Oryctolagus cuniculus: one gene and its partners. The protein of the gene in region 6 interacts with the protein of the main gene of each other region in a pairwise test. Links are inferred from orthologs where the notes say so. Each region holds a gene or a part of one and is shown on either strand. Other genes may lie near its edges.

Region 1 (3,605 bases), on a different chromosome or scaffold from region 6:
CTCCACCTTGCGGCGCCGGCACACCGGGTTCTAGTCCCGGTTGGGGCGCCGGATTCTGTCCCGGTTGCCCCTCTTCCAGGCCAGCTCTCTGCTATGGCCAGGGAGTGCAGTGGAGGATGGCCCAGGTGCTTGGGCCCTGCACCCCATGGGAGACCAGGAAAAGCACCTGGCTCCTGGCTCCTGCCAGGATCAGCGCGGTGCGCCGGCTGCAGCGGCGGCCATTGGAGGGTGAACCAGCGGCAAAAGGAAGACCTTTCTCTCTCTGTCTCTCTCACTGTCCACTCTGCCTGTCAAAAAAAAAAAAAAAAAAAAAAAAAAAAAAAAAAAAAAAAATCCAGGTACTCTGATACCAGATGCAGGTGTTCCAAATCTTAACCACTGTGCCAAACACTTGCCCTTGTGATGTGTATTTTCAAAGACAGGATGGACTATGTTAAGATGTTTCTCCGATTAATTACTATTCAGTATAGGACCCAACAAATTAGAATTCATTTTGCCTCTTTGACATAACATAAGTGAACTCCTATTTCTTCAGCCCATTTCCTATATAAAGTATTGGTCCTCAAACTGTATTTGGTTAACAGCACTTTTCACAATACGGTGGGAGATAGTCTCTCTCTCCCAATAAATGCATACAGATACATATACAAAAACTTCATGATAAAATTTCAGGGGTCATTAACTCAAAACTTATTCACATACTGTCTAGTTTCAAAACTCTGTTGTAGAGGCTAGTATACTGTGAAATATGCTTTAATAATTCAAAATGAAATCTGAGATAAAACACAAGAAGTTAACATGGATTTCTTTACAGAAACCTGAAAATAAGTCACTACTTTAGGGAATCTTTTCAATTGATGTTTTAAATCCTAAAAGCAAAATATACATAAACAACTGGAAAGCATTACAGAAGTTTTTTGAAATTTAACAATTCAAGGGCATATTATTGGATTTTCTTTATTTATTTCTTGTTTGCAATGAAAAACTTATACTCTGTTTGTTCAAGATTTCGCCACAAGAACTTTTTATAATTTTGTTGGAGTTCACATGTGAAAACATTGTGAGAATAATTCACTTACATCATTTCATGTGATAACAATGTCATTCCAATTTTATAATGCACATATCTACAATTCACTCATTTCAAGATACAACTCAGTAGTGTTTAGTGTAATCACAGAGTTACATACCATTTCCACAACATTTAAATCTGCCTCATCTTATTTTATTAAATGATCTTAGAACATTTAAATCTGCCTCAGAGACCCTCCCCGCTGCCTCTGCCCTGCCACCTCTGTGCTCCACCGCACAGAACACGCACTGCACTTCAGCACGGGCTTCCCTGCCGCTTTCGTGGCCCCACGGACTCTGCTCTGCCAAGTGCTCCCAGAGGGGGAAGACGCCAGGGAGGTGCTCACTCAGTGTTCACCGAATCTTTGATCTGTAGCATTCCCCATCAATACTATGTGTGCGAGGCTGAAAGGGTCAAATGATTGATGACTTTGCTGCACTTCTCATTTGTTAATTGATGACATATTTCTCCAACGATCAGAGCACTTGGGAACCTCAACTGATTCCCACGGCTCTCTTATCGTATCTTACTATGGTGTTTGGTTAACACAAGTTTAACCCTTGAATTTACTGGTAGAGGACAGATACAAAGGAATAGGAAGCACATTCCTTAAAATTAGCTGACAAATTACTCCTTTGCCCTGTATCTCTGAGCAATCTTACCTACAATTCTGGATTTAATTTCATTGGAACCCAGTGGGAATCAGCTGATGCCAGCTACGAGGTAACCGGGGAGGCTGGATCACAGTTTACTGCTCGGGGGCCCTGCCAAGCGCTGCCACTCTCTCAGAGGAGGGTTTCCCTGGGAAGCCAGTTTTCTGAGATAGGCGCTGGGCTCCAGCTGAGGGATATCAGGGTTCTGTCTGTAATATTTCTCCAGCTTCTCCAGAACCTTGGGCAAGCCGACTGTGGAAGCATAGAACATGGGCCCGCCTCTGTGCCTAGGCCAGCCGTACCCATATAGATAGATAACATCGATGTGCTCTGGGCTGGCAGCCATCCCTTCTCCCAAGATACGGAAGGCTTCATTGATGAGTGCATACAAGCTACGCTCAAGGATCTCTTCCTGGCTGATGACCCGAGGTTCAATGTGGTAGGTTTCTCTGTACTGTGACAGAAAGTTGGAAAGCCAGGGGTCAGGCTTGTGAATCCTGCCCAGCGGCTTGTCATACTGATACCAACCCTTACCAACCTTCTGGCCAAATCGTCCTGATTCACAGAGCATGTCAGGAATTGGGCAGTATCTCCTGTTGTTCCGCTTTCGGGCAGGAGTTCCTGGAGGTAACGTGGGTCCAGTAAGACCTTGCCCCTTCCGAATTCTCCAGCCCACATCCAACCCAGCAAGGTCAGATACCCTGAAAGGTCCCATTTTAAAACCAAACTCCTCCAGCACCTGATCTATCTCCTCCGGCTTGCTGCCATCTTCCAACAGGAAGTACGTCTGATCATAATAAGGTCTCAACATTCGATTCCCAACAAACCCGTGACAGTTGCCTACAACCACTCCAACCTTTTTAATCCTTTTCGATAAGTTCATGACAGTAGCAATGGTGGTGGGGGAGGAGTATTTGCTAGGAATCACCTCCAATAACCTCATGACGTGAGCTGGTGAGAAGAAGTGGGTGCCGATGACCATGTGGGGACGGTCAGTGGAAGAAGCAATCTCATCAACGTCCAGGGCTGAAGTGTTGGTGCACAAGAATGCTTCTGGCTTACACACAGCAGACAGCTCAGCAAACACCTGCTTCTTCAGGGCCATGTCCTCAAATACCGCTTCAACGACTAAATCTACACCACTGAGCTCCTTCAGGGATGACGTTAACCTGGGTTTTGGTACCGACCCAGGGTGGCCACTCTGCTGCATTTTGGATGCTTCCTTTTCCAAGATGGAAGTTATCACCCTGTTTGCAGCTTCCAGTTGCTTTTTATCTGATTCCACAGCAATCACAGGAATCTTGGCCCTTGCAAAAGAAATGGCAATACCTCGGCCCATTGTTCCCAAACCTGTAGACAAAGAGTGAAGGAAACAAAGAATGATTCAATAGTTTTGGGATTTGGGAAATTACTCACTGAACAGAAAGGTTCTACTGCAATTTAAAGAGATTTATACATTTAAAGAGATTGATACAAACAACTGAAGTGGTTCAAGCTAACATTAGATAGTATGCTACATGCTCTCAAGGTAAAAAAAAAAAATAAGAAGAGTATTTCTCTCTCTCTCTCTCTCTCACACACACACATACACATACAGATATTAAAACTAATAAATGAGTCCAACAATTTTGAAGACACTAATCAATATAGGAAAATCAACTGTATTTCCATATACTAGGCAATGAACAACATGCATATGAAATTAAGAAAGAAATCCTATTTATAATACCATAAAAATCATAATATACTTAGCAGCACACTTAACCCTGGATAGAAAGACTTGTTCAAAATAAATGGAAAACTATCTGATATTCATGGATTAGATCATTTAATAATGTTTAGATGAGAATACTTTCCAAAATGATCTGCAGAGCCAATAT
Region 2 (5,298 bases), on a different chromosome or scaffold from region 6:
GGACAGTGTGGAGGGTCTCTCCAGCCAAAACTCCCCTACATTACTCCTCCCTACTGACCTCCTCCTGCTGTGGGTTCCTCCTCAGAAGTCTGGGAACTCTGCTGCGTGTAGGTGCTGCAGGTGCCTGTGGGACAAAGGCCATTGTCAGCAGGCAGGGACTGATGCCTAGGGACACTGACAAAGGCTGCCTGTGGCCGGTGCCGTGGCTCACTTGGCTAATCCTCTGCCTGTGGTGCCGACACCCCGGATTCTAGTCCAGGTCAGGGCGTCGGATTCTGTCCCGGTCGCTCCTTTTCCAATCCAGCTCTCTGCTGTGGCCCGGGAAGGCAGTTGAGGATGGCTCAAGTGCTTGAGCCCTGCACCCGCATGGGAGACCAGGAGGAAGCACCTGGCTTCTGGCTTTGGATTGGTGCAGTGCGCCGGTTTTAGCAGCCATTTGGGGGGTTAACCAACAGAAAGGAAGACCTTTCTCTCTGTCTCTTTCACTGTCTAACTCTGCTTGTAAAAAAAAAAAAAAAGGCTGCCTGTCAGAAGAGGATTTGTGTGGGTCTAGATGACCTGGAAATCTCTTTGCTGGGGTAAAGGCTGGCAGGAGACTGGGAGCTGTTCTCTTTCTCAGAAAATGTCCCACAGAAGACAAAGGTGGCCAGAGCTCTGTGCAATCTGAGAATGGTAGGTGCAGAAACTACAGTGTTACTATGCTTACTGAGAACAGCATGGACCATGGGTTTCTAGCACAGGGCTGTGTCATGTGGTAAGGTGAAGGCACTTGAAGAGCAACAGGTGATGTCACTATCCTCCAGCCAATGGAAATGTCCTAGCAGCAAGGGAGCTGGGAGAGTGAAGGGGAGATGGGGGTGAGGTGAGCAGCAAGGACTGAGTGCTGAAAAAACAAGTGCTTAAGGTTTCATATTGTGTAGCAGCTAGAATTAGGGGCAGAAAAGGGACCCAACGAAGGGTTCCCACTGTCCCGCTGCAGGAAACAGACAACTGTCACCCTAGGTGTGGCCCTACCCTGCAGAGTGTGTGGATCCTGGAAGGCAGCCTTTGTCCCCTTGTCCTTTGCCAGGGTCACAGAGGCTCACCTTCCAAAATAACTTACTTGACGACTTGGCAGTGTGGATTCCACTGGCCGTGTAGAGTTTGTGATTCTGATGTAATCAGGCACTCAGCTTGCTCTCCAGCTCTGTCCTGTCAGGCAGTTCCCGAACCAGGTTAGATGGATCAGGATCCCTTCACTGGATCTGTCCAAAGCAAGGCAGAGGTATTTCACTGTGGTTACGTCCCAAATGCCCTGCTCAGGATGTGCCAATTTTGAATCTGCTCACGAATACAAGAAACTGCTGCTCCACCCCCAGGGAAAAATCCCACCCACCAAGCCCCAAATCCCACCTCCACTCAAGCCACACCCCCAAGGCCAAGCTCTGCATCCACCTAAGCCTCACGCCTGCCATGTAACTGCGTCCACGCAAGCCCCACTCCTTGCACCAAACTCTGCGTCCACGCAAGCCCCACCCCTGCCGTCTAACTCTGCGTCCACGTAAGCCCCACCTCTGGTGCCAAACTCTGCGTCCACGCAAGCCCCACCCCTGCCGTCAAACTCTGCGTCCACGCAAGTTCCATCTCTGGTGCAACACTCTACGTCCATGCAAGTCCCACCTCTGCCGTCAAACTCTGCGTCCACGCAAGCCCCACCCCGGCGCAACACTCTGTGTCCACGCAAGCCCCACCCCTGCCGTCAAACTCTGCGTCCACGCAAGTCCCACCCCGGCGCAACACTCTGCGTCCACGCAAGCCCCACCCCTGCCGTCTAACTCTGCGTCCACGTAAGCCCCACCTCTGGCGCCAAACTCTGCGTCCACGCAAGTCCCACCCCGGCGCAACACTCTGCGTCCATGCAAGCCCCACCCCTGCCGTCTAACTCTGCGTCCACGTAAGCCCCACCTCTGGCGCCAAACTCTGCGTCCACACAAGTCCCACCCCGGCGCAACACTCTGCGTCCATGCAAGCTCCATCTCTGGTGCAACACTCTACGTCCATGCAAGTCCCACCTCTGCCGTCAAACTCTGCGTCCACGCAAGCCCCACCTCTGCCGTCTAATCTGCGTCCACGCAAGCCCCACCCCTGCCGTCTAATCTGCGTCCACGCAAGCCCCACCCCTGCCGTCAAACTCTGCGTCCACGCAAGTTCCATCTCTGGTGCAACACTCTACGTCCATGCAAGTCCCACCTCTGCCGTCAAACTCTGCGTCCACGCAAGCCCCACCCCGGCGCAACACTCTGCGTCCACACAAGCTCCACCCCTGCCGTCAAACTCTGCGTCCACGCAAGCCCCACCTCTGGCGCCAAACTCTGCGTCCACGCAAGTCCCACCCCGGCGCAACACTCTGCGTCCACGCAAGCCCCACCCCTGCCGTCAAACTCTGCGTCCACGCAAGTCCCACCCCGGCGCAACACTCTGCGTCCACGCAAGCCCCACCCCTGCCGTCTAACTCTGCGTCCACGTAAGCCCCACCTCTGGTGCCAAACTCTGCGTCCACGCAAGCCCCACCCCTGCCGTCAAACTCTGCGTCCACGCAAGTTCCATCTCTGGTGCAACACTCTACGTCCATGCAAGTCCCACCTCTGCCGTCAAACTCTGCGTCCACGCAAGCCCCACCCCGGCGCAACACTCTGCGTCCACGCAAGCCCCACCCCTGCCGTCAAACTCTGCGTCCACGCAAGTCCCACCCCGGCGCAACACTCTGCGTCCACGCAAGCCCCACCCCTGCCGTCTAACTCTGCGTCCACGTAAGCCCCACCTCTGGCGCCAAACTCTGCGTCCACGCAAGCGCCATTCCTGGCGCCAAAAGCCAACCTCTGAAGATCCACTGAACCGGCAAACTGCGTCTTGCGCAAGCGCCATTTCTGGCGCCAAAAGCCACTTTCACCAAGAGCCACTGAACCGCCAAACTCTGTGTCCATCCGAGTGTCATACACTCCGCCATTCATGTGCACGTCCTGCACCCACCCAAGTTCCTCACTTCCATTTCCCTGTACTCCTTTCCCCCACCTCATTATCTTTAACCTCCTGTACCCATCAGGCTGTCCCATTCACTCCTAACCTCACACACCCTTTCCACTACTCTGAGCAGGGACACATCTAGTCAGCAGAGGTAGCTAGAGGCTAGAACAGGAATGGCCAAAGCCACTTTCCCTCAAGGATAAGGGCCAGAACCAGTTGTCCTTACTGCTACGTCTGGGCAGGTTTGGGGTAGAATGGGCCCTCCTAAAGTTCTGAGGCCACTCATGATAACTGGAAATATCAGGGACCCCTAGGATTCTGCTTCCAGGGGAATCTAAGGCCACTGGCCCCTGGGACCTCATGGAGGTCAACCAGGATCATTGGAGGGAATCTGTTGTAACCTTGGTTCCCTTTTGTGCCCAAACCCAGCTCCTTACCTTCTGGGAATGCCTCCAGGCCACAGCGCCCGTGCAGCGTGGCCACTCTGCCGCCGCCACTGTACGGAATGAGCCGCGAGTTTGTGGCGGGAAAGAAATTGTCGGGTAAGCAACGGTCTTCAGCACCGCCCACTCGCAGATGCATCCCGGCAACGTCTACGGCCACGCCCACCCCCATCTCCACCTCCACCCCACTCCTGCAATAAAGGGGTTGTGCCCTGTCCACCGCACGTTTCTCCTCTGAGTCATGACTGGAGGGGGAACAGAGAATTCAAACCATACTGAGAACTGTTGCGTTGCAGAGTTGCTCACAGTCCAGCTTGTACGTGCTCAATAGAGGCCGACAGGACCACCACCTGTCACATCAGTCCCAGCAACCATTGCGGCTACTATGATAGGTGTCTCTCACCCATTGGACTGGGACTGGCTCTGACTTTCACCAGTGGCTCCTCCTGTTTGTGTATTCCAAGCTATGCACACAGGGCTATGTGCAAAGTATAGGTCCAGGTGCAAACTACAAGCTCGGTACCTACTAACTAACCAAACGTCTCTGTCCTTGTTAATTTTTATCCACTGTGTCCTAGGGGACGGCAAAAAATAAAAAATACAGCTACTACCTTCATTTTACAAATGCATGCAATTTTCAAGGCTCATTGAGATACAGGAAACTATCAAGATTTCATTCTCTCATTATTCTCGTGATTGCATGAGAATTACCCACGAGGTACCGAAACTTCTCTCTTTTCTTTCCCAAAGCAGGTTTCTTCCACAGAGGGAAGACTTAGCTGTTTTCCTTGGGGCTACTGGGGACCCTAAAGTCCTGTCCCAGCAAAGGGCACTGGTGGGACACTGGTAGCAGTTTACAAAGTGCACACACATTTCCCAGAGCAGGTGATAGTAGCGGTTCAAGTTGTGAGTCAGGAGGTCTTGGCAGAGCTCAGAGTCTGCAAAAGTACCAAAACTCTAGCGGCTATTGCAGTTCCCTGCCCATGCTTTGTGTAGCACTGCTCTGAGATTACCAGAGCCAGAAGTTGTAAGCTGACAGAACGTAAGTTTTGCTGTATTTGGTACGAATAACAGGCCTTTTTTAAAATCATATTTTAATGAAAATGTGAAAAGCAGAAAACTTTTAAAACTAAATGTCACCAAGTAAGATACATACAAATATTGCATTATTCTCCTTTAATTGAAAATTTTTCCTAGGTGAGACATGACACTGTAACCCAGACCCCTATACTGCGTACTTAACAAGAACATACTTTGGACTATCTCTTAAATTAATTTCCTTCTCCTTACTGGAGAAAATGATTACTTGGCGCTGCCACGTGGTCACAGACCAGACGGCTCTCCTTACAGCAGTCCACAGCACCCTCTGGATGACACCACCAGCTGCCCAGTCTCATACAGGCTGTGAGCAGAGCTGTCCTGAGCACCTCTGTACTTCATTCTACTTCTCACTGCTAGACTTGGCTCCTCCCTAGTCTTTCCTTAAAAACAAAAAGTTGCTGAGGGATGAGGAGGAGATCATGGTGCATTTTACCTGAACCCTGTAAACCCGGACCACCCAGAAGGTTAAGAAACCCCTCAGCCTTTTGTGTTGTGGCAAAAAGCCTCCTGCAAAGAATGCTGCTCCCTCATATGACTTGAATAGCACGTAGCAGATACCTCCTTTGTTGACCTATCACAAAGCAAGCCCTGACATCCCCCAAATTCCTGTTCTTTGCCTCATAAATGATTAGCTGAATGAACTATTTGTTTCCACTGCTAAGTAGGAACAAGACACTTGTTGGACAACTTCATGTAGCTTCTCTTCCTTTTCCGAAGCCCTGAGCTAGCAATCACACTTCACAGTCTCTTC
Region 3 (5,358 bases), on a different chromosome or scaffold from region 6:
CAGTGCAGACTTTGGGTGTCCATTTATTGGAAGGTTGTGTCCCAAGGTCAGATGACAGGAGACTCCGTACTCACCCAGTAAAATATCCCTCTAGGCAATGAAGGATAACGAGTTTCTACCAGCCTACTTCTAATCCTACTAATTTCTCCTTTCCTTTCCAGAACTGGCAATTCTTGAAGAGGAAGAGGTTTGAGAGTGGGTAGACAGCAGTTGCTCAAAACTCCAAAAAGCACCACAAAATTCATAGCCAAGTTGTATCTGTGAAATTAATTACCCTCACTAGCCTATGCGGTCAACTGGAATGAGAATCACATTTTTATTTCCCTTTTAAAAAATTAATTTATTTGAAAGGCAGAGTGAGAAAGTTGAAGAGAGACAAAGAGATCTTCCATCCACTGATTCATCCCCAGCCCCCAGAGGCTAAATAACCAGGCTAAAGCCAGGAGCCTTTAACTCCATTCAGGTCTCCCACATGGGCAGCAAGGACCTAAGCATACGGACCATCCTTTGCTGCCTTACCAGGCACATCAGCAGGGAGTGGAATGGAAGTGGAGCATCTGGGACTAGAAATGGTGCTCTGATACAGGATGCCAACATCACAAGTCTTGGCATAAGGCACTATACCACAACACCAGCCTCATAATCATGTCTCTAGTCACTCTGCTACCACACCAAAATTAGGCCTGGGCTGCTGGATGTGGACAGGCAATGCCCCGGAGACAAGAGGTGATGCTGGGAGACAGTGTTTATTACAGTGGCTACCTAGAGGCTCCACCCTCCCAAATGTGCTCTTCCCCACTTTGCAAGCTAGCAGAATGACTTTTAAAGGAGAAAGAGGATTTGGGATAGGGGAGGCAGTAAGGGAAGAAATTGGGTCCTGAAATTCTTGGGCAACTAGTTTAAGTCACAAGACAAGTCACAAGAGAAGTCACGCAAGACAAGTGATAAACATCTGTTAATTAAAATCTGAAAAGAGAGGAAGGGAAGACGCCTTTCTTAAGGTTACATGTCCTCAGTGTCTCAACAGGACTGTGCGTATATTTAGGAATACATGAATCTTAGCAATTTTGTTTTTCTAAAATGTGTGTGGGGACAATGTACCAGTTTCTGAAATAATTACACCTTTCAAAATGTATGATCAGAAGTGTGGTGGAATAGTATGTGGCGAGCACTGCCGCTAAGTCATAAATTACAGAATGAATTCATCTGCTGGGACAATGTACCAGTTTTTAAAATAATTACATCTTTTAAAGCAGCTGCTTTTGATATGTATGACCAGCAGTATACTAAGTTGGATACGTGGCAAGCACTGCCAGTAAGTCAGAAATTTTAACAATTACAGCATGAATTCATATGTGTAGCAAAATAATGACAAAATCAGTGAGTAGAGGTGAAATGCCAATCAAGACGGTAAACAATTGGCTATCCAGGATGGAAACTTAGTTCAACCTTAAATGTATCTAAAGAAATCATATATCAATGTAATTTTAATCTAGAGACAATCAGCTCTTTACATTCAGGAAGCCTTTTCTACAGAGTCAGTTGTTATTAAACTTCCAAAGTTGGCTTAAGAGCAGCTTATTAGTGAGTGAAGTAAATTTTGAAAGTAGGCTTCAAGGTTAAATATTACAATTGGGATGGAACAGCTAGCATGCGACAGGGTGCAAGCTTTGAACCTTGGCCAATCTGCTAATGACAAGACAGAAAACCTTCCATTAATTCAGCAAAACCTGGTTAGCCGTTTCAACCTGCAGCTTTAGGCAGCTCCCACCTGGAATTTAGGGTTGTCCACCCACTTCACCCCAAGCGGGAACTGGAATGGAAAAGGTAAAACGTGGCTACTGCGCATGCTCACACCGCCCTTCTTCACTCCACTACTCCCCCTCCCCGTCCCTGGACGCCACTGCAGCAACTTTCCAGGACGACTTTAGAATGGTCCCCGCCCACCGTGCAGTCAGACTGGCGGAAACCATTCTTTTCTGCGACGTGGACACCCGTCTCCTCATTAGAGCTTTCCAATTTGGAAGCAGTCATCGCGCGCCTCCGCTTCTCAGGGATTCCAGCGGCGCTTGCCAGTTGTCAATATGGCCGCTGACAGGCGGGTCGTAAGCAGAGAGGCCTTTCATAGGCCAAGGTCGCTTCCCGGCCCCGCCCATTTCATCCCTCCGGGCTGCGTCCGCCCAGCTCCTCGCTACGCATGCGCAGCGGGGGCGGGCCGGGAGGTGGGACTGTCCGAGTCTTCCGTGTGCCACCGCTGCCGCCTCAGCCTCACTGGTGCTGCCACTCTGGGGCTGCAGTGCCGGCGTTATCGGCTCGAGGGGAAGGGAGGGGACCGACGGAGCGTGCGTGCGCGCGCGGGGGTCCCCGCAGTCCCAGCAGTTCCCCTCGAGTGTAGTGGGCGGCCAGGCTAAGCAGCAGTCGAGGGAGGCCCTAGACGGCGCCATGTCGGCGGGCGGCCCGTGCCCGGCAGGAGCCGGAGGGGGCCCCGGGGGCGCCTCCTGCGCCGTGGGGGTCTCCCCTGGCGGGGTGTCCATGTTCCGGTGGTTGGAGGTGCTGGAGAAGGAGTTCGACAAGGCCTTTGTGGATGTGGATCTGCTTCTGGGCGAGATCGATCCGGACCAGGCGGACATCACTTACGAGGGGCGACAGAAGATGACCAGCCTGAGTTCCTGCTTTGCGCAGCTTTGCCACAAAGCTCAGACTGTGTCCCAAATCAACCACAAGCTCGAGGTGAGCCGTGGGCGCTGGCATGGGTGGCAGTCGACCCCAGGTGGGCCAGTGGCGTCAGATCCCATCAACGCACCAGCGAAACGACCCTAGAAAACTGCCCATTGGGGCACCTGGCCTTGGAATGCGATGGGGGGAGTGCGTGGGCAGGAGCGGAGGAGGGGGAGAGCTGAGACCGGAGGAGAGAAAGGGACGTAGACCTACGTGTGGGTCTCCCGGGGTCCTGTCATTCACCTTCGAGTATCTCACTGAGGAGGGAACAGGAACTAGTGATACTGGTGTCCCTCGTACATGTTACGTTAGACCTCATTGTGTCATGAGGATACCTTAGCCCACGTTTTGACACTGGGGTTTTGCAGACTAGGTTAGTATATTTCCAGACAGTCCCGGTCCTGATTATTTTCATTTTAGATGTTACAGACTGGCATGTGTGGTTGCACACGGAGACATGCATGAACTATCTAAAGGGAATCTGATCCAAGGTCTTAGAAAAATTTAGTGGAGTGTACCCGTATACATAGTATCGTTTTGTCTGGGTTCACATTCATAGTTGGTCCTTAAATTACAAGCACATACCTCCAGAGCTTCCTGCAGTTATTCAGGTGACTTCTAACACTGAGGTTAATGGATTTCTACTTTACTGTGTTTCCCAAAGTCTGGATTTATTTTGAGTGTGTGTAAAGAATGATCATTTGCTTGAGTCTCAAATCCAAACACACAAAATAAGCTACCACAGTGTACAGAAAATTAAATTGGGGTGTTATCACAATATTTAGAAATTATGATAGATTAATGTTGCATAAAGGATTCTAACTCGGCAATTTAAACGAGAGAATGTCTTTAAATTTTAGAGTAGATAAAAATGGGATAATGAATGATATGCAGAGCTCTTTGAACATTAGCTTATCTAGGAAATCATCATTGCTACTAGCTGAAATAAATTTATGAGACCCCATTGTATCCAGATTAACAGGACTGTCACATATGCATCCTCTCCTTGCTCAGTGATCCGTATTGTTTTGCTTTTCTCTTGTTAACTATGAAAAAGGTGGTATAATTAATCTTTGATTGGTGTAGACTTCCATACCCAAGATTTTATGGCTCTTCTGCACTGAGAGGACTGCTGATTTCTTCCATCCTTTGTGAAAAAATTGCAATGAAAATGCTGATATGCAAGCACTCATGTCTTATTGTAGGTAAATTAAAATGTTTCTTGATTTCTTGATTAGTGATACTTTCTAGAAGATAGCTATTTTTTTAAGTAATGAAATTTTATTTGATGGTTTTTAGAAATAGTAACTTTAAGCAGCAAAAATCAAGAGTAGCTTTTGCCAAAGCAAAAAACAAAAAAACTTTAGTATAATTTGCAACCCCAGGCATCTATAGGGGATAAATGGCTTTGTAGAAATGAAACATTATCTAACTTATTTTTTAACGACCTAAGGAAAGTAAAATGTTTGTTAAGACAGATACAAAATCTGATTTTGGAGAAAGGATCATTCTGTAAGTAGGAGGTGGTGGTCAAATTTTTTTTTTTTCATTTTTAAATACTTTAGATGAATATTCAGGGTTGTAATAAATTATGCTTTTTTTTTTTTTAGAAATTGTAATTACATATTCTGACTCCATGTCCTGGCCAATTATTTCTCAAAATATAAAGTGCTAGCATATTGCAATGTGAGCATATTTTTTCAGCAGGTTTGAAACTCCTGATTTAAAGATCTTAGAAAATGGAGAAGGAGAGGCATACCTTGATTTTTGTTGTTTTTTTTTTCAGTTACATTAGATTTTTCTGCCTGTGGTGTTAATTTTTTCACATTTAGCAGCTTCTACAGTTTCCATGGAATCAGTTGGATGTTGCTGAAGAAAGAGGTTCCTTGTCAACAGTGCCTTTCAAAGTAGATCTGCTGGTTGTACCATCTGCAGAATTTTAGGGATTGCTGTAAATTTATGGGCTCCTGAGAACTTGAAATTTGAGAAAAGGTTTCCATACTTTCATGCCTTATCATATTTCTTAGTAGGCCAATTGAATTATATTGTTTGAAATAAATATTAAGACATAATATTTGAGTGCACATGTTGTTTGATACAATAAATACACTCCAAGTTCAGTGATTTTAGAGATTAATATTTTTAAATATTTATATATAATAAAGACTCAAATAACTCCAGTGTGGGTGATGTATAATGTATCTAAATTAGTCTTAAGTATCCTTCTAGATTGCCATTTCTATCCAGTCCTGTGTCTTTGGGTAGCACTACATTTTTTTTCTTTCTTCCTTTATTTTTATTTATTTGAAAGAGTTACAGAGAGAGGTAAAGACAGAGAGAGAGAGAGATCTCCCATCCACTAGTTCACTCCCCAGTTGGCTACAACAGCCAGAGCTGAGCTGATCTGAAGCCAGGAACCAGGAACTTCTTCCAAGTCTCCCACGTGGGTGCAGGGGCACGAGGACTTGGGCCATCTTCTACTGCTTTCCCAGGCCATAGCAGAGAGCTGGATTGGAAGAGGAGCAGCCAAGACTCAAACTGGTCCTCCTACCCGCCATGGGATGCCGGTGTCTCAGGCCAGGGCTTTAACCTGCTGAGCCACAGCACTGGCCCCTATTTATTCTTTTTAATTGAAACAGG
Region 4 (4,646 bases), on a different chromosome or scaffold from region 6:
CAGTTTTAGAGAGTCTGAATACTCAGAGGGCATTTAGTGAAACATGGTGGTTCAAGTATATTTCTAAGGACATCAAGTAGAATCAAAGAAAAATACAGCACATTTAATTAAGACAGCTGTGGTGCAGAGAGGCCCACTGGGCTTTGAGTCAGGAATTCTGTTATCAGCTGTTCATCTGAAGCAAAACATTTAACCTTACCAGTCAAAAGAGACGGAACCAGAGATGCTAAAATCTAGTTTTAAAATCCTTTGATTCAAAGTAACTGGGGTGGGGAGTTCCTAGCCAAAGTTGTTCAGACGTGAACAGGCCCCATTCTTCTCAAAGACTGGCAGTCACCTGGCCATTCCTGCAGCAAACCCTCTGCACACGTAACGGTGGACCTCAGGACCTGGCAATGCCCACGGAGGAGAAGGTGACAGAAGGGGAAGTAGCTCCTAGAGGTGCAGAAATGGCACCTGCTAAACTCAAGTGGAAACCAAGATCACAGCAAACTGTATTTTGATGCCTCCCAAACAGAAAAATCAATTTACTCAACACAAAGCACAGCTATGTGGCACAGCCACGCTACACACAGTGCTGGGGAGATGTACACAACAGCTGCTCTCGCCGGGACCAAACAGTCGGAGGAGGGAGAGGAGAGGATGAGAAGGGCTCATCCCCAGTGACTCAGCAACACAGCGGAGTTAGCAAGTTCTTCGCAGCCCTAAGGTGAGAGCAGCAAGCGCTACTGAGGGAGAAAGGAAAAAGGCCGAGAGACAGAAAATACGGACCGAGACGTCTTAGCAGATTAGTATTTATTCCAAACACATTAGTCTGGATTTCTCAGGTCTGGATTTTGATGCACTGGTACTTTGTTTCCAATTTATTGTCTTGGCCATAAGGTCAAAAACAAAAACAGTGCGTTTTCATTCATATCTCCACCAACTCTGGAATATTAACACCAAAAAAAAAAAAAAAACCATTATGCAGTGACTTTTTAAAAAAATTGTAATAATGAGATGACCACAGTCTAAATGAACTTCAGAGGGAAGAATCTTTTTCCCATCAGATTCTATCCTTACAAATGGTTGCTTGCTGTTCAGCAGATCTGCGACTTGGATCATCCTCGCTGTAATTATTAAAAGCATGTAAGATTTTTCTGCATTCATTTGGAATTCCTAATACCATCTTTTAGTTTACAGGAAGATAAAGGGGGAAACACAACAGGAAATATTACCCTCACAGACTATTAATAGCATGCAATCTATGAAATATTACATACATTAAAAGTCTCCAATGCAGGCCTGGCCCATCATTACATTATATCCTTCTGAGACAATCTATAGAATTCAGAACTGTACAAAAAAAGTGGGCAGAAAATCCAACAAATATCATTTGTTAAACAAAAGTCACACACACACAACAGTACCAAATAATATAGAAAATACTGGCTAAGTCGTGGACTCCTGCCACCGCAGATGTTAAATATAGAGAGGCCTTCACCGAGTATCTGGCACACTCCCATCCAGCAAGGGTCCAGCAGGTGCGCGCGTTACAGCTTCTGCACAGGGGTCTCCTCTGGTGGGGAGCCGGGAGCTACTTGTTGGATTTCAAAACACCTTAAACCACAAAATGCTCTCAGCAAAGAAACTACTCAAAAATATAGCTGGAAGATGTCATTTCAAAGCTGTCTGTCCAGCTGCACGCCGGCACTAAGCAGGGTTTACCCGATGCACACGCAGTCTGGTTTGGGTGTCCGATGGCGTTGAAGGCCCCGCGGCACTGACTGTGAAGGAACACTAAGGGACATCAAGATGACTCAAGAAAAGCACGAAGTGGAATGTGGACTGGAGGCAAGTTAGTAAAGCTAAGACCAGTCTGGGGAAATCAGGAAGCAAAATGGTTAAGCCCAGTTACCTTTCTTCTTAATTATAACTTCACAAAGTCTTGATCAGGAATCTCTACAGCTGGGTCTGTTGCACAGCGATGTGCAACAGAACATGACTTCTGCCTGCTCATTTGCACTCAAGTTCCTGCCTGCACTGCGTGCCTTGCCGGGGGTTCCCAGTACTCAGGGGACAGCAAGTGTGACGAAGGAAGCCACTGGCCTGCAAACTCCACTCCATGTAGAACCCTAACAGCTGAACAGATGGGAGTAAAATTCTTTTGTTACTGCTTCTAAATTAGCGAGGGGGTCAGCATTGAGGCCTGTTGCTGCTCTCCAGCTAGGATGCTCTGAGTGTGAGATGGGCTTGGGGCTGAGAAGCCCCTCAGGGTCCCATCACGGTGAGGCTCCCTCTCCCAGCGCCCCAGGGTGGCCAGGAGGAGGCTGGGAACAGGGTCTTTCTATGTAGGGAAAAGGAGGGCCCCACAGAACTGCACCTCAGGCAAGGGTTTGGGATGCCCTCGAGGCCAGGCAGCAGCTTGCTCTCGGACCCTCCCACCGCCTCCCCGGGAACCGCCCCCACCCCAGCTGCTTCCCGGCAGCGTGGTACATCACACCGTGCAGTCCTTACCCACCCCGCCATGTCTGCAGACTCCCAGAGCAGCATCCTGTCATCTACACACTGGGGAACAAGGGATACAAGTGCGTTCAAGGTCAACTCGCTGGGCGCACTCAGGTGTTGAGGATGCGGAATTTACAGTGTCCAGGAGGAACAAGGCTGCTGAGCCAACGGAACCATGGTTACCGGGGAGTGTAAGTATCGACTTCCTCCTCCTCCTCCAAGCGGAAGGAAGTGCGGGCACCAGTACCCACTGGGCATGAAGCCAACCCCTTAGCACAGGCAGAGAACACCCAATGCCACGGGTTTTGTGGGAGGAGGAATCGAGGGTGTCCAGTATTCCTGAGAACGATCCCAGACAGTGTCCCGAATCAGTCACTCTGATGTGCTCAGCTGCACGGTTAGGCGGTTCCAGCTTTGCCACCTCGGAACCGGTCACGGCGCATCACTCGACAGCTCAGCGTGGCACCAATCACTGCAGAAAGACCCGTCTGCTCAGAGTTGGCTTTTTTGTTTTCAATACTCGGGGATTAAAAAAAAAAAAAAAAAAAGCCGTTTTATCGTTTGTATCCTTCGTTCTGTTTGGAAGGGGCGCCCCGGGCCATGAGTACTCCGGGGAGACCTGACTGTTCCTGCGAGGGCCGCACAGCCCCCCGCGCGTCACTCGGAATAATGCATGATGGACTCCACGTAGTTGCCCGGGAAGAGCCCAGTCACTCCATTCATCACGCCCTCGTACCAGCCGTCGTCATTCTTCTTGATGACGTAGATGATGGCTCCTTCCTGGAAGGACAGCTCATCCTCCTTGTCTTTTGTGTAATCATAAATTGCCACAACTAAGGGAGAAAAAACAGGATATAAAAAGTCACTATTCTTAGAGAAAACCAAACATGCAGATAACCGTTCTTCCTTGTCATCTGCATCTCTGTAACAGCCTGACTTTCTAAACAAGACCACAGTTTGTACACTTTTCTCCCTGGTACCCAGTCTGACACCACGCAATCCCCTTTCCTACCGAGGGGAGGCTCTGCACGGTACAGATGGCAGTTGTCAGCTTCACCCTTCCACACAGAGGCGAAAGCGCCTCCTTGAAGACGACCTCAGAACCAGGAAGACGGCTACCTCTTCACTTGAGCTTGCGCTGCAGCTCCACGCTGGGGAAGAAAAATGCAGGCCTTCCAGCACTGAGATTCTACAGTGCGGTGAATTCACCTACGAGGCGACTGACAACAGACCGAATTCCCACGATGCTTGGAGGAGGGGAGTCCACCTGTAGATACGTTCTTTCAAAAGGTGCTCCATTTTGTCACCAGCTGTATGTGTCCACAGGAACAGTGTCAAAGTGTAAGAAAGCCAGCACTCCTCCGAGCTCCCCTGTGATCCGCACGGCTCCCATCACTTGGTGACCGGGCCTTTCAACCCCGCCCTCGGACCATCTCTGCTTCCTAACATCACATTTATCCCGCTCGTTTTAACTGCGACACCTGAGAGCTCGCTCAGATGCCCCTGTGGAGTTCTAGTCTACGCCAGCCCCTCTGCCTCCTGCACCTTTCTGGTATCATCCAGAACTCTGTCCAGGGAAACCTCCATCTCCATCTATCCATGGTTAAAGCATATATTGCTGGGGCCGGCGCCGTGGCTCACTCGGTTAATCCTCCACCTGCGGGCACCGGCATCCCATATGGGCGCCGGATTCTGTCCCGGTTGCCCCTCTTCCAGGCCAGCTCTCTGCTGTGGCCAGGGAGTGCAGTGGAGGATGGCCCAAGTGCTTGGGCCCTGCACCCCATGGGAGACCAGGAGAAGCACCTGGCTCCTGGCTTCGGATCGGCCATTTGGGGAGTGAACCAATGGAAGGAAGACTTCTCTCTCTCTCTCTCTCTCTCTGTAACTCTGTCAAATTAATAATAATAAAATAAATAATAAAAAAGCATATATTGGCCGGCGCCACGCTCACTAGGCTAATCCTCCGCCTAGCGGCGCTGGCACACCGGGTTCTAGTCCCGGTTGGGGCGCCAGATTCTGTCCCGGTTGTCCCTCTTCCAGGCCAGCTCTCTGCTGTGGCCAGGGAGTGCAGTGGAGGATGGCCCAAGTGCTTGGGCCCTGCACCCCATGGGAGACCAGGAAAAGCACCTGGCTCCTGGCTCCTGCCATCGGATCAGCGC
Region 5 (5,164 bases), on a different chromosome or scaffold from region 6:
TTGGGGCCTGGGCGGGGCCGGGAGGGAGGGCGGGGCTGGAGCGAAGCTGGAGGCAGGGCTCTGGGGCGGGGCTCTAGACGATGGGGCGGGGCCCGGGAGGGGGGCGGAGCCGGCTAGAGTGTTGGGGCTGGGGCGGGGCCGGGAGGGAGGGCGGGGCTGGAGCGAAGCCAGCGGCAGGGCTCTGGGGCGGGGCTCTGGACGATGGGGCGGGGCCCGGGAGGGAGGGCGGGGCCCGGGAGGGCGGGCGGGGCCGGCTAGAGGGTTGGGCAACCGGGGTGGGGCTGGGAGGGAGGGCGGGGCTGGAGCGAAGCTGGAGGCAGGGCTCTGGGGCGGGGCTCTAGACGATGGGGCGGGGCCCGGGAGGGGCGGGGCCAGCTAGAGGGTTGAGGGTTGAGGGCTGGGCCGGGCAGGGTTCCGCACCCGGCACGGGCAGCGAGGCGAAGCTGGCGGTGAGCGCCTGGCGCACGGCCTGCAGCTGCTGCTGCAGCGCCAGCGTCCGCCGCTCCTCCAGCGCCAGCTCCTGCTCCAGGCGCTCGCGGGCGCTGCTCATGGTGCGCGTGTGGCGCTGCAGGGCCGCGTTCTGCTCCGCGAAGGCCACGTTCACCTGCCGCAGGCGCCGCAGCTCCGCCTCCCGCGCTGGGGGCGTGGGGGGCCGGGTCAGGGCTGGGGTCCCGCGCCCCGACCCGCACCGCGGGCCCTCGGGGCCCCGCCCCTCCCCGACCCCCGCCAGCCCGGCCCTCGGGGCCCCGCCCCTCCCACCCCGCCAGCCGGGTCCCCACACCCTCTCCCCACCCCCCGGAGAGCCCCGCGCCCCCTCCCCGCGCCCCCCCCGCGCCGGGACCACCGGGCGCCAACCTTTGTTTTGGTCCAGAAACTCCTCAGTGAAGATAGGGACGTCGAAGGCGGCCAGGCCGTCGCAGTCCCCGGCCTGGGTCGGGGGGCGAGGTGGCTATGCTGGGGGGAGCTCCCGGGGCACCTAGGCCTGCGCCCGCCCGCGGCTCCCCACACCCACCCGGCCGGCTCCCTGCCCCCTTCCCGTGGCTCCCCACACCCACCTGGCCTGCTCCCCACGCCCTCCCGGCCGGCTCCCCATGGCTCCCCGTGGCTCCCCGCCCCCTCCCGGCCAGCTCCCCGGGCCCTCCCGGCCGGGTCCCCGTGGCTCCCCGCGCCCTCCCGGCCTGCCCCCCATGGCTCCCCGTGGCTCCCCGCCCCCTCCCTGCCTGCTCCCCGTGGCTCCCCGCACCCCTCCCGGCCGGCTCCCCGCGGCACCCCGCACCCTCCCTGCCTGCTGCCCGGGCGGGCACAGGGCCGCGCTCACCTTGTACCCGTTCAACACGGTGTTCAGCAGCCCGGAGCCCGAGTCCTCTGGCGGGAGGGAGGGGCAGGGTCAGCGCCCATCACGCAGTGGCCTTGGCCATGGCCGGGCTGTGGCTCCGCCCCCACGCCCCGCCCACCTCTCTTGGCTTTCTTCTCCTGGATTTTCTCGGCGCACATCTGGTAGGCCTCGGACTGCTGGTAGGCCCGCAGCTCCCGCATGTACTGCTGCTTCTCGCGCTCCGCCTCGTCCAGGTACCGCTGCGGGTGGGCGGGCAGGTGGGCCCGAGCCCCGCCCCGCCCCGCCCCCGCTGCACCCTCGGTGGCCCCGGCCCGCACCCCACTCGCAACAGGCGCAGACCAGCGCTGGCCTCCGTCGGACCCGCCTGGGTTTTCCACATTTAAACTAACGCGCAAATCTGGGTTCAGCAGAGACCCGGCCCTGTCCGACCGGGCGGGCGCTGACCGAGGCCGGTGCCCCCTTCGGCCCTGTCCAACCCGGGCGGGCGCTGACCGAGACCGGTGCCCCCTTCGGCCCTGTCCGACCGGGCGGGCGCTGACCGAGGCCGGTGCCCCCTTCGGCCCTGTCCGACCCGGCCGGGCGCTGACCGAGGCCGGTGCCCCCTTCGGCCCTGTCCGACCCCGGTGGGCGCCGACCGAGGCCGGTGCCCCCTTCGGCCCTGTCCGACCCCGGTGGGCGCTGACCGAGGCCGGTGCCCCCTTCGGCCCTGTCCGACCCCGGCGGGCACCGACCGAGCGAGGCCAGCCAGGGCGCGCCGGGGCCCCTCGGCCGCCGCACCTGCTTCTCCGCCGGCTGCAGCTTGCTCCACTCGGCGCCCAGCATCTTCGTGATCTCGGGGAACGGCAGGTCTGGGTGGCGCGTGCGGATCTGCTCCCGCCGCTCGTTCAGGAAGCGCACGTAGCCGGTGACCGGCGCCTTGGGCCCGTTCGGCAGGACCTTCTTCCGCTTCTTGCCCTTGGGCCAGCCGCGCTTCCTGACCGGCTGCGGAACGGGGCGCGTGGGCAGGGGCCGGGGCCCCGAGAGGGCCAGGCTGGAGGAGGACCAGGTCCAAGGGGGCCTGGACCTGGGCAGGCGGACCGCGGGTCCCCTGGGGGTGTGGCTTCTGATTGTGGGCGTGGCCTCTGACAGAAAGAAGCGCTTATAGGCGGCCCAAAGGAAAGCTCCGCCCAAAGGGCGGGGTCACCGGGATGTGGGCGGGGCGAGGGGGGATAGTGGGACAGTGTTCCCCGGATACCGGGCAGTGGGCGGAGCCACAAGACTTGCACACGGGGCGGGCGGGCCCTGTGCTCACCTCCTCCTCCTGGGACCCCTTCTCGCCGGCCCGCGGGCCCTCGGCGCGCTCCTGCTTGACCGCGACCACGAAGCCCCCGTGTGGGCCCGGAGCCCTGCCGCCCGCCGGCCTGCAGCCACGGGGCACGGGGTCACCAGGGTCACGCCGGCCCCTGGAGCCCAGACCGCCGCCCGCCGGGGTCGGGACATGGGCAGATCGGGGAGGGGACGCAGAGGCGGCCTTGGGAGGACGGAGCCCAGCCGGGGGGCGCGGGCCGGGTCAGGACGGGAGCCCGAGGGGGCCTAGGAAGGAGCGGGGCTGGGGAAGGGGTGGAGGCGGGGCGGGGGCAGGAGGGGCTGGGGAGGGGGCCGGGGCAGGGCGCAGGCCGGGCTGGGGAGGTGGCGACCCGGGAGAAACCCTCCAAGGGGGCAGGGCGCTGGGGCGGGGGCGGCGCACTCACGCGGCGGCCGCGCCGGGCTGCTTGGGGCCGTGGGACATGGCGGCTCCGGGCCGGACCTGCAACGCAGACGCGCGGCGTCGGCGAGGGGCGCCCGGGACCCCGGGGGGTGCGCTGGGGGCGGGGACGCGCTCGAGGGCGGGCGCCGGGGGCTCCTTTGTTGGGCGATCGCCGCCCCCGGGGGCCCGCCCGGCCCCGCCCCCGGCCCGAGGCGGCCCCGGCCGCGCCCCGCGCCCCCCGCGCCCCCGCCCTGCGCGGGACCCCGACTTCCGCGCGGCTTTCACCTCCACAGAAACTTTCCCGGCCCTGGCGGCCGCCGCGACGCGCCAACCAACCGCCCCCGGCATGCTAATGAGGCCCCGGCGAGCGGCCCGATTGGCCGGGGCCCGCCCCGGGGGCGTGATCATGTAGATGAGGGTCGGCGCGCCGCTCGGCGATTGGCCGCAGCGGCTGCCGAGTCGCCGGGGAGGCGGGCCGGGGAGGCGGCGGGCGGCGCGTCAAGTTCGGCTGCGCGAGGCCGCGCTCGGGGCCAATCCCTGGCGTCCGAGGCCGCGCGGGGCGGAGCCTCTTAAAGGGCCAGCAGGCGCGCGCGGATCCGGGTTCGGCCCCGCCCCGGTTGCCGTGGGGACGCAGGGGGTCGCTAGGGCGAGGGGGCTCTGGTTCTTAGCACCCGCAGAGCTGGGGAGGGGGCCAAACCCGCCGTGGCCGAGAGGCTGGAGCGCTGCGTGGCCGAGACCGGGCCTGGGTCAGGCGGGGGCTGGACAGGCGACCTGGGCCGGGGTCAGGCGGGGGCTGGGCAGGAGACCCGGGCCGGAGTCAGCCCCATCTGCACGGCCGTCAGTCCTCGGGCACCCTGGGCACCTTGGCCGCCCCCCGCCCCATCTGCCTGCTCACGCACAGGTCCTCGCACAAACCAAGGGGCGAGTCCGGTGTCCACGGGGCGGGTGCGTGGGTTTGGGAGCGGCTGGCGCTCACGGACGGTCAGCCCGGCAGTCCCGGGGTGCGGCTGCGGGAGAACCTGCGCGAGGCTCCCCGCAAAACGGGACAGACGTCTGCGGCCCGGAGTGCGGGGCCGAGTACTTGCGGGCCCCGCAGACGTCACGCCGGGGAGCACGAACGCGCGTGGGGCCCCACGGCCGGGCAGGGGACTCCGCGGGGACAGGAAGGGGGCGTGGTCGCCGCGGCCTGAGGGAGGGGCTGGGCACTGCCTTCGGGGGTGACGAGAATGTTCTAAATTTAGACGGCGCAGACTGGAATCCACGGACGCCCTGAGGCTCTGCTGCGGGGCCCCGCCTCCTTGCTGTGATTGACAAGGCTGCTGTTGCCGTAGGAACTGCCCTGCGGGCCCCGCCTCCGAGCCGTGATGGACAGGCTGGCGTTGCCGTAGGAACTGCCCTGCGGGCCCCGCCTCTGTCCGTGATGGACAGGCTGGCGTTGCCGTAGGAACTGCCCTGCGGGCCCCGCCTCCGTCCGTGATGGACAAGGCTGGCGTTGCCGTAGGAACTGCCCTGCGGGCCCCGCCTCCGTCCGTGATGGACAAGGCTGGCGTTGCCGTAGGAACTGCCCTGCGGGCCCCGCCTCCGTCCGTGATGGACAAGGCTGCCGTTGCCGTAGGAACTGCCCTGAGGGCCCCGCCTCCGTCCGTGATGGACAAGGCTGGCGTTGCCGTAGGGACTGCCCTGCGGGCCCCGCCTCCGTCCGTGATGGACAGGCTGGCGTTGCCGTAGGAACTGCCCTGCGGGCCCCGCCTCCGTCCGTGATGGACAAGGCTGGCGTTGCCGTAGGAACTGCCCTGCGGGCCCCGCCTCTGTCCGTGATGGACAGGCTGGCGTTGCCGTAGGAACTGCCCTGCGGGCCCCGCCTCCGTCCGTGATGGACAGGCTGGCGTTGCCGTAGGAACTGCCCTGCGGGCCCCGCCTCTGTCCGTGATGGACAGGCTGGCGTTGCCGTAGGAACTGCCCTGCGGGCCCCGCCTCTGTCCGTGATGGACAGGCTGGCGTTGCCGTAGGAACTGCCCTGCGGGCCCCGCCTCCGTCCGTGACGGACAAGGCTGCCGTTGCCGTAGGAACTGCCCTGCGGGCCCCGCCTCTGTCCGTGATGG
Region 6 (4,646 bases):
GTCTTCTTTGACCTGAGTCAACCTTTGAGATTGCCTCCACCAATAAGTGTATTAGAAGCAATATCACCAATCTTTAAAAAGATTTTTGAACTTTTATGTTCATTTCATTTGAAAGGCAGAGAGACAGAGACAGAAAATTTTCATCTGCTGGTTCACTCCCCCTCCAAAGGCTCACCACAGCCAGGACAGGGCAAGGCTTGAAGCCAGGAGCCTGGAATTCAATGATTCCCCTTTGTGGTTGGCCATCACTTTCTGCCTCTCACGGTGTACATTACAGGAAGTCGGCATGGAACTTGAGCCTAGGTATTCTGGTAGGAGATACAGGCACCCCAAGTGACATCCTAACCACAGTGCCAAACACCAAGGCTGCTATGGGATTTTTGAGGAGAGGTCATTAAAATGCTATAAATTTCTGTATAGTTTTAAGTCATTCACATGAACCTTAGGCAATTCATGTGGAGAAGCCAAGCATTCATGGGGATAAGACCATTCAGGCATTCCAACTGAGAGCCCAGGAGAGAATCAGAATCTATCAGGCATGTGATTGGGTAAAACATCAGGTATTGCAGCTCCCAACCTTCCAGTCACCACTGCCTGTGAATCATCCAAGCTCAACCTTCATGGGAGAGATAGGCACCATGCAAAGCCATGACTAATCTACAGAATATATCTTGGTTTAAGAACAATTGTTCAGGAACGTATTACAAAACAATGGATAACCGAAAGACAACATCACTCGCGGCTCAATAGGCTAATCCTCCACCTAGCGGCACCGGCACACCGGGTTCTAGTCCCGGTCGGGGCGCCAGATTCTGTCCCAGTCGCTCCTCTTCCTGTCCAGCTCTTTGCTGTGGCCCGGGAAGGCAGTGGAGGATGGCCCAAGTGCTTGGGCCCTGCACCCACATGGGAGACCAGGAGAAACACCTGGCTCCTGCCTTAGGATCAGCACGGTGCGCCGGCCACAGCGCGCCAGCCGTGGCAGCCATTGGAGGGTGAACCAATGGCAAAAAAGGAAGACCTTTCTCTCTGTCTCTCTCTCTCTCACTATCCACTCTGCCTGTCAAAAAAAAAAAAAAAAAAAAAAAAGATAACATCACTGTCCCTGCTGTCATTTAAACCTTTTAAAATTATTTTCTATTGATTTGAAAGGCAGAGTTACAGAAAGAGAGGGAGAGACAGAGAGAGAGGTCTTCCACCCACTGGTTCACTCCCCAAATGGTTGCAACTGCGAAGGCTGGGCCAGGCGGAAGCCAGGAGCCAGGAGCTTCACCCAGGTCTCCCATGTGGGTGCAGGGGCCCAAGCACTTGGGCCATCCTCTGCTGCTTTCCCAGGAGCATTATCAGGAAGCTGGATCAGAAGTGAAATAGCCAGGACTTGAACTGATGCCCTATATAAGCTGCCAGCATTGCAGGCAGTATCTTCATCCACTATACCACAACATTGCCCCACTGCCCCTATTCTTACAAAAGGGACAGCAGTCCAGTTATGATATAGCAAAAATATAGCCAAAGCAAATGAATAACCAGGTCACTTAATCACAAGCCTAGTGCTCTTTCCCTATATACCATGACGCTCAATGTGTAAAAAATCTTGTTCAGCAATGAGTGCCTTGCAAAATTGTGATTTGTCTGTTACTTATGGTAACATTCATTATTTTATTGAATCACTGAAGTCCAAAGCTGCTGTAAAAACTAGATATACACTAGATATTTTAATCATATATTAAGAATTCAAATAGTTAAAAGTGAATCTCAAAGATGATAATGTGCTTATAATAAGTCAATTTGAAAGAATAAAAGAAAATCTCTAAATTACTTTTCAAAATTCAAAATGATACACAAAATTCATTTTTTGAATCTTAGAAAGTAATAGATAAACATGAGAAAATACATTACCCAGCAACCAGTTGATCAGACTTACCAATTTTAAGAAGTTTGAAATCAGACTTGGTTAAGGAAGACAATGCTTAGAACTTACTCTCTTTCTTTCCAAAGGATTTTCTGGAAGTCATCCAAATGCACCTGCAAAGTTGACACGTCAGTTACGTCATTCTCCAAAGGCAGATTTATAGCTGGTAGTCTTAGCTCAGGTTTCATTGCACAATTTCCAGAACCACATTTCTTAAATAAATCAGGACTATCTAGATTGGATTTCATCTCCTCATTTAATCTTAGTGGATCAATAATGACATCTTCCTGGGGGGAAAAAAAGCATAAAACAGTTGTTATTGTTGAATGTTTAACTCTTTCAGAGAAAAATAATAAATAATAAATGCAGTATCAAATGGAAATAAATGTTATGATATAGTGTCAAATCCATTCATTTCACTATCATTCTGTAAGATTATTTTGATACAGTCAAACTGACTTGCCTTCTTTTTCTTTATTTTCCCCCACTGTTTTTTATTACTTTTTTTATAATTTTATTTAAGGACTTGCCTTCTTTTACAAACTTAAATTTCTATGTTCAACCTTACTATAGTAAAATACATTTCTCAAAACTTCTACTCTTTTAGTTTGTTTTAATTTAATATTTCATAATTATAGCTTAAAATAACTCAGCATAAACTTTAACTGCTTTAAAAAGTTTTTGAGTTGACAAATCTCTTCAAGGTTTCCTTTTCACAAAACACTTGAGAGTTACAAAGAAAAGCCAACTGGTTGTTTTTAACATTTTTGGGATGAAAGAGTAGAAAGAATTTTCAGAAAGCTCTTGAATATTTTAATAGGTATGTTTATTGACATTTTGTTCACTAGTCAAATCTCAAGTAGAATTGATTGGGACATATTAATAAATGAGTGCCAATTATCAGAATAGCACACGGTGCCAAAAATCGTATCATTACAATATTTCACTGAACTGATTCTGTACATATGTGCCTAAAATTAAATTTGCCATGAGTTATGGGTTTTAAATTAAATAAATCCAAGCTCAAATAAAATCAATGATATTTAATTTTTAATATTTTATTCTTAAAGTACTATGTGTCCGGGACGGCACTGTGGAGTAGCAGGTGAAGCTGCGTCTGCAGTGCTGGCATCCCATACAGGCGCCACTTAAAAGTCCCAGCTGCTCCATTTCCAACCCACCTCTCTGCTATGGGAAAGCAGCAGAAGTTGGCCCAAGTCCTCGGACCCCTGAACCTAGAAGCTCCTGGCTCCTGGCTTCAGATCGGCCCAGCTCCGGCCATTACAACCATTTGGATAGTGAACCAACAGATGGAAGACTTCTCTCTCTCTGCCTCTGCCTTTCAAAGAAATAAATAAATCATCATATAAAATATTTTTGAAAGTACTATGTGCCCCAGTCCTTATGTAGGCCAGTGGATGGGAGTGCTCTCTGTTTGCTTTCTGACTCTCATATAAAAAAAATTAAAACTACCATTTCTATGCCAGGTTACCTAGCTTTATTTATTTCTTAATTCTTTTAAGAATATTGTAGCTACATATATCATGTTGAAAAGTAATAAAATCAGATGTGTGTCCCTGAATACAGTAGTAGGACAAATGACATATACCCTGGAATCTTTCTCACTGGCCTAGTGTTAGCATAAAACTGATCAAAATGAAAACAGCTGATTGAGGCTTCTTCTATCACAAATATGAATTTACCTACAATCAAGAGTAATTTTACCTGTTTTCCAAAATAAAGAAACTTTTAATAAGTACCTACTATGTATGATTAGTTCTTTTTTTAAGATTTATTTATTTATTTGAAAGTCAGAGTTACACAGAGAGAGGAGAGGCAAGAGAGAGAGAGAGAGAGAGAAGACAGAGAGGGGTCTTCCATCTGCTGGTTCACTCCCCAAGTAGCCGCAATGGCTGGAGCCACGCCAATCCGAAGCCAAGAGTTTCTGTTGGGTCTCCCATGTGGGTGCATGGGCCCAAGGATTTGGGCCATCATATACTGCTTTCTTTTTTTTTTTTTTTTTTTTTTTTTTTTTTTTGACAGGCAGAGTGGACAGTGAGAGAGAGAGACAGAGAGAGAAAGGTCTTCCTTTGCCGTTGGATCACCCTCCAATGGCCGCCGCTGCAGCCGGCGCACCACGCTGATCCGATGGCAGGAGCCAGGATCCAGGTGCTTTTCCTGGTCTCCCATGGGGTGCAGGGCCCAAGCACCTGGGCCATCCTCCACTAAACTCCCTGGCCATAGCAGAGAGCTGGCCTGGAAGAGGGGCAACCGGGACAGAATCCGGCGCCCCAACCGGGACTAGAACCCGGTGTGCTGGCGCCGCAAGGTGGAGGATTAGCCTATTGAGCCACGGCGCCGGCATCATATACTGCTTTCCCACGCCATAGCAGAGAGCTGGATCGGAAGTGGAGCACCCAGGACTCAAACCTGTGCCCATATGGGATGCCAACGCTTCAGGCCAGGGCGTTAACCCGCTGCGTCACAGTGCCAGCCCCTGATTAGTTCTTAACAGTGGTGACACAGAGATACTGTAATGAAACCTCAAAATACTGTGAATGTCTCAACATAATACATTTGAAGAGAAACCTTCATTTTCAAATGCAAAGCCTGGTTCATTCATATAATTCATTGTAATAACCAAGAATTAGTTTATGGATTCAAGGAACATTGTACTAGCTATGTCTCTAATTCAAATACTCAGATATGCCATGACACAACTAAATTTTAAGAATAC

The links.
Region 1: the proteins of CCDC102B (region 6) and EHHADH interact in binary tests that used the Homo sapiens proteins (3 or more experiments, as listed by UniProt). The two-hybrid records come from large-scale screens. The link is inferred for Oryctolagus cuniculus from reciprocal best matches to the Homo sapiens genes CCDC102B and EHHADH.
Region 2: the proteins of CCDC102B (region 6) and PNMA5 interact in binary tests that used the Homo sapiens proteins (3 or more experiments, as listed by UniProt). The two-hybrid records come from large-scale screens. The link is inferred for Oryctolagus cuniculus from reciprocal best matches to the Homo sapiens genes CCDC102B and PNMA5.
Region 3: the proteins of CCDC102B (region 6) and GOPC interact in binary tests that used the Homo sapiens proteins (3 or more experiments, as listed by UniProt). The two-hybrid records come from large-scale screens. The link is inferred for Oryctolagus cuniculus from reciprocal best matches to the Homo sapiens genes CCDC102B and GOPC.
Region 4: the proteins of CCDC102B (region 6) and ABI2 interact in binary tests that used the Homo sapiens proteins (3 or more experiments, as listed by UniProt). The link is inferred for Oryctolagus cuniculus from reciprocal best matches to the Homo sapiens genes CCDC102B and ABI2.
Region 5: the proteins of CCDC102B (region 6) and HMG20B interact in binary tests that used the Homo sapiens proteins (3 or more experiments, as listed by UniProt). The two-hybrid records come from large-scale screens. The link is inferred for Oryctolagus cuniculus from reciprocal best matches to the Homo sapiens genes CCDC102B and HMG20B.

Annotation. Positions count from the first base shown.
Region 1 is NC_091435.1:94,866,080-94,869,684, forward strand, and holds the end of EHHADH (peroxisomal bifunctional enzyme), read right to left. Parts: intron 3,076-3,605; coding exon 1,814-3,075; 3' UTR 942-1,813; downstream 1-941. UniProt on the Homo sapiens protein: Peroxisomal trifunctional enzyme possessing 2-enoyl-CoA hydratase, 3-hydroxyacyl-CoA dehydrogenase, and delta 3, delta 2-enoyl-CoA isomerase activities. Catalyzes two of the four reactions of the long chain fatty acids peroxisomal beta-oxidation pathway.
Region 2 is NC_091453.1:131,405,516-131,410,813, forward strand, and holds the start of PNMA5 (paraneoplastic antigen-like protein 5), read right to left. Parts: upstream 3,569-5,298; 5' UTR 3,441-3,568; intron 1,245-3,440; 5' UTR 1,103-1,244; intron 125-1,102; 5' UTR 59-124; intron 1-58.
Region 3 is NC_091436.1:52,746,507-52,751,864, forward strand, and holds the start of GOPC (Golgi-associated PDZ and coiled-coil motif-containing protein), read left to right. Parts: upstream 1-2,195; 5' UTR 2,196-2,442; coding exon 2,443-2,730; intron 2,731-5,358.
Region 4 is NC_091434.1:36,633,693-36,638,338, forward strand, and holds part of ABI2 (abl interactor 2), read right to left. Parts: intron 3,321-4,646; coding exon 3,145-3,320; 3' UTR 1-3,144. UniProt on the Homo sapiens protein: Regulator of actin cytoskeleton dynamics underlying cell motility and adhesion. Functions as a component of the WAVE complex, which activates actin nucleating machinery Arp2/3 to drive lamellipodia formation.
Region 5 is NC_091447.1:59,466,745-59,471,908, forward strand, and holds the start of HMG20B (SWI/SNF-related matrix-associated actin-dependent regulator of chromatin subfamily E member 1-related), read right to left. Parts: upstream 3,444-5,164; 5' UTR 3,411-3,443; coding exon 3,348-3,410; intron 3,123-3,347; coding exon 3,067-3,122; intron 2,737-3,066; coding exon 2,628-2,736; intron 2,318-2,627; coding exon 2,114-2,317; intron 1,576-2,113; coding exon 1,455-1,575; intron 1,366-1,454; coding exon 1,319-1,365; intron 929-1,318; coding exon 856-928; intron 637-855; coding exon 421-636; intron 1-420. UniProt on the Homo sapiens protein: Required for correct progression through G2 phase of the cell cycle and entry into mitosis. Required for RCOR1/CoREST mediated repression of neuronal specific gene promoters.
Region 6 is NC_091441.1:9,980,055-9,984,700, forward strand, and holds part of CCDC102B (coiled-coil domain-containing protein 102B), read right to left. Parts: intron 2,197-4,646; coding exon 1,979-2,196; intron 1-1,978. UniProt on the Homo sapiens protein: During interphase, forms fibers at the proximal ends of centrioles to maintain centrosome cohesion. During mitosis, dissociates from the centrosome following phosphorylation to allow centrosome separation. Contributes to CROCC/rootletin filament formation.